Linked DNA regions of Callithrix jacchus. The protein of the gene in region 1 binds, or shares a complex with, the protein of each later gene. Links are inferred from orthologs where the notes say so. Each region holds a gene or a part of one and is shown on either strand. Other genes may lie near its edges.

Evidence for each region. Proteins that work in one complex are often made in the same cells at the same time.
Region 2: the proteins of IFFO1 (region 1) and XRCC4 are in contact, whole or in part, in a crystal structure (PDB 6ABO), measured with the Homo sapiens proteins. The link is inferred for Callithrix jacchus from reciprocal best matches to the Homo sapiens genes IFFO1 and XRCC4. Residues at the interface, in NP_001317253.1 of Homo sapiens: Arg469, Glu470, Tyr473, Ile477, Gln479, Ile480, Glu481, Glu483, Leu484, Ala487, Lys488, Asp490, Met491, Arg493, His494, Leu495, Tyr498, Met501, Lys505, Leu508, Asp509, Met512, Cys515, Arg516, Leu518, Ile519, Thr520, Gln521; in NP_001304941.1 of Homo sapiens: Trp155, Val158, Gln159, Phe162, Glu163, Cys165, Val166, Lys169, Glu170, Glu173, Leu176, Tyr177, Phe180, Val183, Leu184, Lys187, Lys188, Lys190, Ile191, Leu194, His195, Lys197, Leu198, Ala201, Ala202, Arg205, Glu212.

Annotation. Positions count from the first base shown.
Region 1 is NC_133510.1:20,741,815-20,746,469, reverse strand, and holds the start of IFFO1 (non-homologous end joining factor IFFO1), read left to right. Parts: upstream 1-1,392; 5' UTR 1,393-1,405; coding exon 1,406-2,178; intron 2,179-4,655. Other genes in the region: NOP2 (28S rRNA (cytosine(4447)-C(5))-methyltransferase), read left to right, coding at 1-469. UniProt on the Homo sapiens protein: Nuclear matrix protein involved in the immobilization of broken DNA ends and the suppression of chromosome translocation during DNA double-strand breaks (DSBs).
Region 2 is NC_133503.1:127,810,839-127,815,471, forward strand, and holds the start of XRCC4 (DNA repair protein XRCC4), read right to left. Parts: upstream 3,014-4,633; 5' UTR 2,939-3,013; intron 1-2,938. Other genes in the region: TMEM167A (protein kish-A), read left to right, coding at 3,231-3,233.

The DNA.
Region 1 (4,655 bases):
AGACTCAGAACTGTCCACTATACCTTCTGTCACAAAGACCCAAGCTTCCTCCAGGCTCCAGGATAGCAGTCAGCCAGTTGGAAAAGCCAAAGGGATCAGGGAGCCAAAGGTGACAGGGAAGCTAAAGCAACAATCACCTAAAGTACAGTCCTCCAAGAAAGTTGCCTTCCTCAAGCAGAATGCCCCTCCCAAGGGCACAGACACAGAAACACTGGCTGTGCTATCCCCATCCAAGACCCGGGCCACCCTTAAGCCTAAGGACCGTCATCAGCCCTTTGGAAGGGCCAAGGGGGTTGAGAAGCAGCAGTTGCCAGAGCAGCCTTTCAAGAAAGCTGCCTTCCAGAAACAGAATGGCTCCCCCAAGGGGCCTCAGTCTCCCACTGTGTCTCTTGTCAGTTCCAGCCGCCCCCCACCAGCAAAGAGGAGGAAATCTCAGTCCAGGGGCAACAGCCAGCTGCTCCTGTCTTAGATGGTTGAAAACTAGACTGGGGTGGCTCACTGCCTTTGTCACCGGTTTGGAACTCTTGCCTCTGTGAGGAAGCCTTTTGCACTGTGTATGCCCATGAAATTTAATACACATTTTACAACCTCTGGCCACTGAGTATTTTTTGGGGGAACTGAATACTGCCTTTGCTGCTTTAAGGGTAGAGATGGGAAGGTGGGACTGGGGTTTTGAGGAGAGGGAATGGTTGGGTGCTACTGAGAAGTCAGGTCAGTTTTAGGCTCCTGCATCCTTGGGTCTTCCCAGGAAAGGAGAGCCCTGGAGTCAGAGTTAGGGGAGTTTGGACTGTGGGAAGAAGGCAACAAGTGTAGGGGAAGGCCCGGCACGGTGGCTCACGCCTGCAATCCTAGCACTTTGGGAGATCAAGGTGGGTGGATCACTTGAGATCAGAGTTCAAGACGAGCCTGGCCAACATGGTGAAACCCAAAATGCAAAAAATTAGCCAGGCGTGGTGGCGGGTGCCTGTAATCCCAGCTACTCGAGAGGCTGAGGCATGAGAATTGCTCGAATTCAGGAGGTAGAGATTGCAGTGAGCCAAGATCACGCCACTGCACTCCAGCCTGGGCGACAGAGTGAGACTCGGTCTCAAAAAACAAGAAATGTAGGGGAGATGGGCTTGTCACCAGAACCCATGGGGTCCTGGGCTTTACGCCACCCCGGCTGGATTCCCGGCGGTGGCTCTCCTCAGCCCCGGGCTCGGCCTCAGACCCGGAAAGGTCCAGGGTCCGGCCTCCAATTGGAGCCTGTCATTGGCTTCCCCCTCGGCCCGCCTCCTGACCTCTGCCCCGCCGCCGAGCCGCCTGATTGGTCGGCCCTGTACCGCCGGCGCCGCATTGGCTCTTCTCGCTCGCCCTCCATCCCTGCTCCTGCACCGGTCTGCATCTCCCAGCAGAAGGCGCAGCCATGAATCCGTTATTCGGCCCCAATCTCTTCCTCCTACAGCAGGAGCAGCAGGGCCTGGCCGGGCCGCTGGGGGACCCACTGGGAGGTGACCACTTCGCCGGGGGAGGAGACTTGCCCCCGGCGCCTCTGTCGCCTGCCGGCCCTGCTGCCTACTCGCCACCCGGGCCGGGCCCGGCCCCGCCTGCCGCCATGGCCCTCCGCAATGACCTGGGCTCCAACATCAACGTGCTCAAGACCCTGAACCTCCGGTTCCGCTGCTTCCTGGCCAAGGTGCACGAGCTGGAGCGTCGGAACCGGCTGCTGGAGAAGCAGTTGCAGCAAGCGCTGGAGGAGGGTAAGCAGGGCCGGCGGGGCCTGGGTCGCCGCGACCAGGCCGTGCAGACCGGCTTCGTCAGCCCCATCCGGCCCCTGGGGCTGCCGCTGGGCGCCCGGCCGGCCGCCGTCTGCAGTCCGTCGGCGCGGGTGCTGGGCTCGCCCGCGCGCTCGCCGGCCGGCCCCCTCGCCCCCTCCGCGGCCAGCCTCTCGTCGTCCTCTACCTCCACCTCCACCGCCTATTCCTCATCGGCCCGCTTCATGCCCGGCACCATCTGGTCCTTCTCGCACGCCCGCCGGCTCGGGCCGGGACTGGAGCCCACTCTGGTGCAAGGACCTGGCTTGTCGTGGGTGCACCCGGATGGGGTGGGCGTCCAGATCGACACCATCACCCCCGAGATCCGCGCGCTCTACAACGTGCTGGCCAAAGTGAAGCGGGAGCGGGACGAGTACAAGCGGAGGTAGGGACTGGGAAGTGGGGACAGGGACCTGTGTCGTGCCACTCACAACCAGCTGGGAGTCGGTGTGGGTTCCTAAGAATGTGGGGTGAAAAGAATGAGAGTAAAGTTTGTGCTGTATAATGAGGAGCCTGGAACGAATTGGATTCCGGGGACTAGAATCCTTAGAGAATGCAGAAGCCCCACTCGAGACAGGAATAAAGACATTGGGAGCAGAACACTGGGCGATTCCTACTTTTCCGGCTTGTTCTGTGCCATCCAGGCTTAACTGCGGGCTTTGTGATGTGTGAAAGGTACTGAGTCTGAGCCCTACCAGTCTCAGCCCTGGAGCAGTTTAGTGATATAAGCTTCAAAAGTAGGAGGCAAGGATATAGTGTACATTGGGGAGACTAAATTGAGTGAAAATGGAAGGGGGTAATGACGAAGGGGCTGCACCCTGCAGTGAGTGATTCTTTCACAGCCCAGGGTTTCTTAAAGAATATTGATGGAAACCAGGTACCTGCTCTGGTTTCATAGGAAAAACCCCGGGACCTCAAGCCATTGCTTGAATAGGTCAACAAAGTGGGAAAAGAAAGAGTAAAGGAATTCCCTAGGGTAAGGGTGGAAAGCAGAGCTGATGGGGAATCTCTGGCAGTATAAAGCCCCAGCTGTGGAGGGAGAGTGGAGAGCCAGCAAGGAACTGAGCAGAAAGAAGCTGGGATACAGACACTCCCTAGGACTTCGAGGTGGTGGGGCGGGCCCAGTGCAGTCTGTGGATGAAGATTTGGCTGAGAAAAGCTGGGCCCCAAGGGGCGAGGGGAAGGGATGTGATGCCAGGAGTGCTGGCTCTATACCAAGAGGATTCCTTAGGTGGTTGATAACCAGGCTGAAAGGACAGGAGTGAGAGCAGAGGTAGTGTCTTGCAGACTCCGACCCATGGCATGGTTGAGGAGGAAGGTGGTGACAGTCAGAGGAGACTTTGGTTTGGGGGCCTCCGGTCTCATCTCAGCTCTTAGGACCCCTTGTGGGCAGGCCTGGAAAGTATCTATGCAGCCCAGTGTAGCAGGGGTTCAGCACTGGGTGAGGATTGGCCGAATGTTCTAGGAAATGACTGCTGGGTTGCTGGGGAGACCTTCAGGGATCTTACCCTGCTGGAGTCTGCCAGATCACAGATTAGCAGGCTTTCCGAGTCCGAGTCTTGTCCTCATGCTTCCTGAGTTGCGTCTTGGGCGTTTCAGTTGCCCTGAAATCATTACTCAGGTGCCACCCAGAACCAGCCTGCCGTGCCCCTGCAGGAGTTAACTGCCACACTCAGCAGTGGAACAGGCACAGTTCTGGAATGTATCCATAACCACAGGAACAACTGCTGTTCTCAGGAACTTTTTTTTTTTAACTGAAGGAGTGTTTGTCCTTGATCCAGCTGTCCAGGGCAGGAAAGAGTTATTCCTTGGAGACCGATTAGCTCATCACTCTGCAGCACACTGCTGTGTAAAGGGCTGTAGCTAGGCTCGGATGGTACGTGACACTGGCAGTGACTCTTCTTCCACCCCAGATCCCCTGCCCTCATTCTGGTCTCTTTATAGCAACACTGTAACTCCTGTCTTCCGCCTGGAAGGCCTGGGATGGCTTGAGCACTAAACTGGGAGGTAGCTAAAGGCTTCCTGGGTTCTATTTTCAGCTCCCCTGCCTTGTGTGTGACCTTTTTTTGAGCCCCCATTTTTCCAACATAGGAATGGTCCCTGATTTCTCTCTTCAACTCAGGGATACAGTTTTTTGGAATAGAGGTGTTTGGTCCATGCAGAATGCATGGAAATCGCTCAAGGTCTGCCCATATTAAGGGAACCTTGTAAGTGAGACCAGATGGAAGTGGAGGTCAAAATGAACCTGTTTGTGTGAAGTCTGGCTGGAGAGCAAATAGAATTGTAGTGGGCTCCCAGATGATCCATTTTCAGATTTTTTACCCTGTAAGATTTCATTAAGCTTAACCTTTAGCTACTGTCTTACTTAAGCTTCTTCCGGGCTTCGCTGAGCTCACCGTCAGGCAGCCCCTCATGCCCTCCTTCACGCATCTTGTTCAGGGTTAGCATGCCCTTGACAGGCTTACTGTCTTCCTCCAGGGACTTGTGGGCTCCAGGGCATGAGGGCACCACAGTTCATGCCTTCATATTGTAGATGAAGAAACCAAGACCCAGAAAAGATAAGGGTCTTAGCTAAGAAAACATATAACCTGATGTGACCAGGCCCCTTACTGGCCTGACTGCGTGCATGAGAATGCCAGGGGGAAGGGGAGAAGCACATATGAGACCCACAGGGAAGGGGCTGGGAGCCAGGCAGGCTGGGAGCCGGGCTTTGTGGGGAGCCAACAGAGTGGTGGCTGGGCTGGCTGCCTCCTCCTGCTCTGGCCAGCAGGGAGGGGCAGCCGAGGTGATGTGGAGGAGTTATTATTAGGAGTACTGCAGTGCGGCTGTGAGTGAGGAGATGGGACCCAGAGGCTGACATAG
Region 2 (4,633 bases), on another chromosome or scaffold:
TAGTAGAGACAGGGTTTCATCATGTTGGCCAGGCTTGTCTTGAACTCCTGACCTCAAGTGATCCACCCGCCTCAGCCTCCCAGAGTGCCAGGATTACAGGCATGAGCCACCGCACCTGGTTGGAATTTTCTGCTTAATATTTTCAGACTGTGGTTGATCACTGGTAACTAAAACAGCAGAAATCAAAACTTCAGATAAGGTGAGACTACTGTATTTAGTGCCTAATATATGCAATTCAACCATTCCTCCATTACAATTCCTCCTCTCCAGGGACTTTTAATTTAGCAAAGAGAAAGCCATGCACAATAATAGCCAACACTTTCTGAGGGCTTACTGTATGCCAAACACTTGCCTAGATGATTTACTTGTAATAAATCATGTAATCCTCATAACACTGAAGACACCTGTGCACTGGCTCCACAGAAAAATATAAATATTCACTATTTTTACATACAATTCTAAAATACCCATGATACCAAAGTTGGTAATATTCTTCCAGATGCAGGAGAGATAATAATTTTTTTAACCAGCCAGACATGGTGGCTTATACCTGTAATCCCAGCACTTCGGGAGGCTGAGGCAGGAGGATCACTTGTGCCCAGGAGTTTGAGATCAGCTTAGGCAAAAGAGTGAGCCCCTGTCTCTACAAAAAACGAAATAAAATTAGTCAACTGTGGTAGCATATAGCCATGGTACCAGCTACTGGGGATACTGAGGGAGGAGAATAGATCACTTCTGCCCAGGAGGTTGAGGCTGCAGTGAGCCATGATTGTGCCACTGCACTCCACCCTGGGCCACAGAGAAAGATCTGCTCTGTCTCAAACATAAAAATAAAAATAAATAATTTTTGAACAAAGGAATAACACAGTCAGATTTTACTTCTAGTAAGGAAAGGATCCAAGATAGTTTTAAATGAGGATTTATTACAAAGATCCAGAAAGACTTTTGAAATTGTGATATAATCTGAAAACTAAAAAGTAGGTGATTTATGTGCTTAAAGACGATGCAGCTAAACAACCACCTCCCAAAAATATCTCAACACATCAGATTAACCGATGTTTTACATAAATACAATAAACATTATACATATTTGTTCAGCCTCATTATTGGCACATGTGTTTCTCTGTGGATAACTAAAAAACTGGCAACTTCATTCTTTACTATTTTGAAGCTTTCTGATGCTCTTCACAGGCAGCCTGAAGCACAGCTTCGTACAGAAGTATTATCCTTTAGTGTAACAAAGATCAAGACAATCTTCACATGAAACCAAGAGCAGTTATGTCTACAGACACATTTACTACCCTAAAAGCCAAGCTCAATAAGTTGCATAACATAATTTCCATAACTAAACTAGGTTTGTTTAATTTGAATGGCAAGACTTAAAAGGTACAATATAAAGGAACTACAAGACAGAACATTAAAAGACTTTTTTCTTCCTCAGAGAGTACTGTATTTTTTATACCTTTCTTATTCCCCTCTCCCCCATCCTTATTAAATTCCTTACAGGAATAGACCATCTTTGTTCCTATGCTGCAATCTCAAGACCCCGGAATAAAGCAGGCACCCAGTAAATACTTGCTAATTTGTTTATTTGACTAACTCTTGACAAGTCAATATAACATACTCAAATATCAAGTTAGTTACAGTTTAAAACAAAACCTTACAGGGCGCAGTGGCTTACGCCTGTAATCCCAGCACTTTGGGAAGTTGAGGCGGGTGGATCACGAGGCCAAGAGATTGCGATCATCCTGGCCAAAATGGTGAAACCTTGTCTCTACTAAAAATACAAAAATTAGCTAGGTGTGGGGGCGTGCGCCTGTAGTCCCAGCTACTCAGGAGGCTGAGGCACTTGAACCTGGGAGGCGGAGGTTGCAGTGAGCCAGGATGGTGCCACTGCACTCCAGGCTGGTGACAGAGCAAGACTGTCTCAATAAATAAATAAATAATCTTTGTGTGCCTGAGCAAACAATGTAAACACAAATAGCAGAATCCCAAATCTTCTAATCATTGTATTGCCCTAATACAGAAGGGTCTCATTGGCCATATACAGCTCATAAACCAACATCTCACATGAGTTACCTTCTCTCTCTCTCTATCCACCTTCAAAGTCAATAAATAAAAAATTGATGACATTCTGAAAAGAACCCTCTGCTGCCTGGGAAAAAATACACCACACGTTAAGCACCAAAAGGTTGCCATTAGGGGGCAAAGAGTGAAAAACTCTCACTACTAATACTTTATTAGACTAACAAGAACTATGCAAACTCAAACACATCAAAGCGCCTGTTTCTCCATATATAAAATGCAGCAAGAAAAATGTGTGTGTATGCGTGTGTAATAGAACCTCACCTAATGGAATTAAAATCAGGAAAAGCTAAATACTACTACTGATTACACATTGGCTTGTCATTTGTCTCGCCAGTTGATCTCTTTAAAGCACCTTATCAATTGCTGCACTCCCTAATGGGCAGCCCTTCCCATTGGTTACCACAGAAAGTTCTTTCCTGACTCCAAAGAGCTTAGTACGTTTCAGCTCCCGATGCGTGGAGGGAACCCACAGTTTATCAAAATCTGGGGATTGAAAGGACAGGCCAACGTCAAACTGCCGACTCAACACTACCCTCTGGATTCAACTGTCCTCCCAATTCCACACACAGGGCATTTCAAAAGTGCTTCGCATTCCCAAGAATCCCCAGATGTAAATGGAGAAACTGAAATGGGGGTGAACAGGTAGGTGTGCACCCTGAGGATTTCGGGAACCCTAGGATCCCCAAAAGCTCACAAGAGGAAAGCGCGGGTGCTCACAAATTAAGGGGGATTCTCTCACTGTGGAGTTCTAGGAGTAAATAGCATGGGATTTTTTTAAAAGAAAGAAAAAACATAAAAAGAACGGAACATCAGATTTTTGTTAAGGGGCAGCCGCACTTCCGGACCCTACCTCTCGGAGACTCCACTTCCGGTCTCTTCCGAAACGCCCGCTTTCTCAGATCAATGTCTTGCAACCAATGAGAGTATCATCTACTTCCGCCGGCCTGCGGGGCGTGTTCTAGATCCCGCCTTTTCCGGTGGAGATGAGCCTACCCTAGCGTCTTAATCGCGCGGCCTGGGAGGAGGTGCCATGACAAGTCCAACCGGAGGGCTGGAGAGGGCTAGAAGGGCAGACGGGGCGTGAAGCCTCTTCCGCCTGGAGCCCGGAAGGGTGATGTGGCTGCGGCACCGCCGGCCTCGCTATGGTAAGAAGTTGGGCTGCTGGGTCGCGGTTGAGCTTCAAGACGGGGTTGTGGATCTGGTCTTGGACTAGAGGTTGTGCGGCAGCCCGGGGTGTGTGGGCCCGGGGCTGAGAGGCTGTGAAGCCACGCGGTCACTGCCCGACGAACCGGAGAGAATCTGGATGGACTGTCCAAGGAAGACCCCTTGGTCGCGGAGCTGGCCCCTCAAGCAAAGGCCGCTTTCCTACTTTGTTTAGAAAAAAAATGCCTTGGTGTGTCTTAACTTGTTGGCTACGTAGATTTTCCGTGGTCATCGATCCTTAGAGGCATTAGAGCTTCTCGAGTTTCCGCTTGTTTTCTTGCATCTCCTTATATCGCCCTAGGTGCTTGACTCTGATGTTACTGTTTGATTTTTAGGGGGAAGTTCCTTTGGCACCCATCTCCGTATCTTCATTTTCATCTGTTCAGTCAGTAACCTCTCAGGGCCCCTCCCACATCTTTCTCAACTTTGAAGATGCTACTATACAAGCTATAGGTTTAAGACTTCTCTGCAAAGGTGGATAGCTTTTCTAAGAGCTTAATATTACTTACTGGAGTGATGTCTAGCCTCAGGCCTTCCTCCTGTTTTACCTCCAAGTCCATGTGCCAAATGTTGTGTATATTTCTGGGCAAAAGATGCATGCCTGCGAGTAGACTCAAAAACAACTGTGACTCCAAAAAGCTTGAGTCTCCATGTGAAAAATGATGAGCCTATGTTCACAGAAGTTGCTGCAGAATCCCATATAGCAGTAAATCAGTCTTCTCTGGACGAGTTTACCACCTGATGGAGAAAATAGCAGTTGAGACTAGGAAGACTGTCACTCTTAATTCTTTTACATCTTTCTAGAACATGAAGTTGAATTATTTTACTTGTAGTGCAAGTCAAATATAACTTTTTATCATCTCCCTGTCACATAGACTAGCTAAAAGTAAGATGCATATACTGTGCTTAAGATCAGAAGTATGTAAACTATCTTGTCATGCTTTTTCCAAAAGTAGCAAATGCTTTCTCTTATTAGCATGTCCTATGTTCCAGGCTCTGTTCAAAAAATCAGTTTATAAGCATGGAAATAAGTTCACAACAGCTTCTAAGTAGATGTTTACAAGTGAAAACAGTGAAACATGAAGAGACTGACTTGCCTCGGATCACACACCTAGTGGATTGTAAAGACAGAACTCAAACTTAGTGCCAGAAACCTTCCTGCTGATAGAAACACAACATAACTGAGGATAAAATAAGTCTTAGTGATTTGTTCCTTATACACACACACACACACACACGTATCAGATATAGGTAGAAAACAGAAACAACTTCCAGATGGGTTTTTTTATTCCTGTGAGTACATTGTTGTTGGCAGAGCTATGAAGTGAGGTTTCAAGAAGGC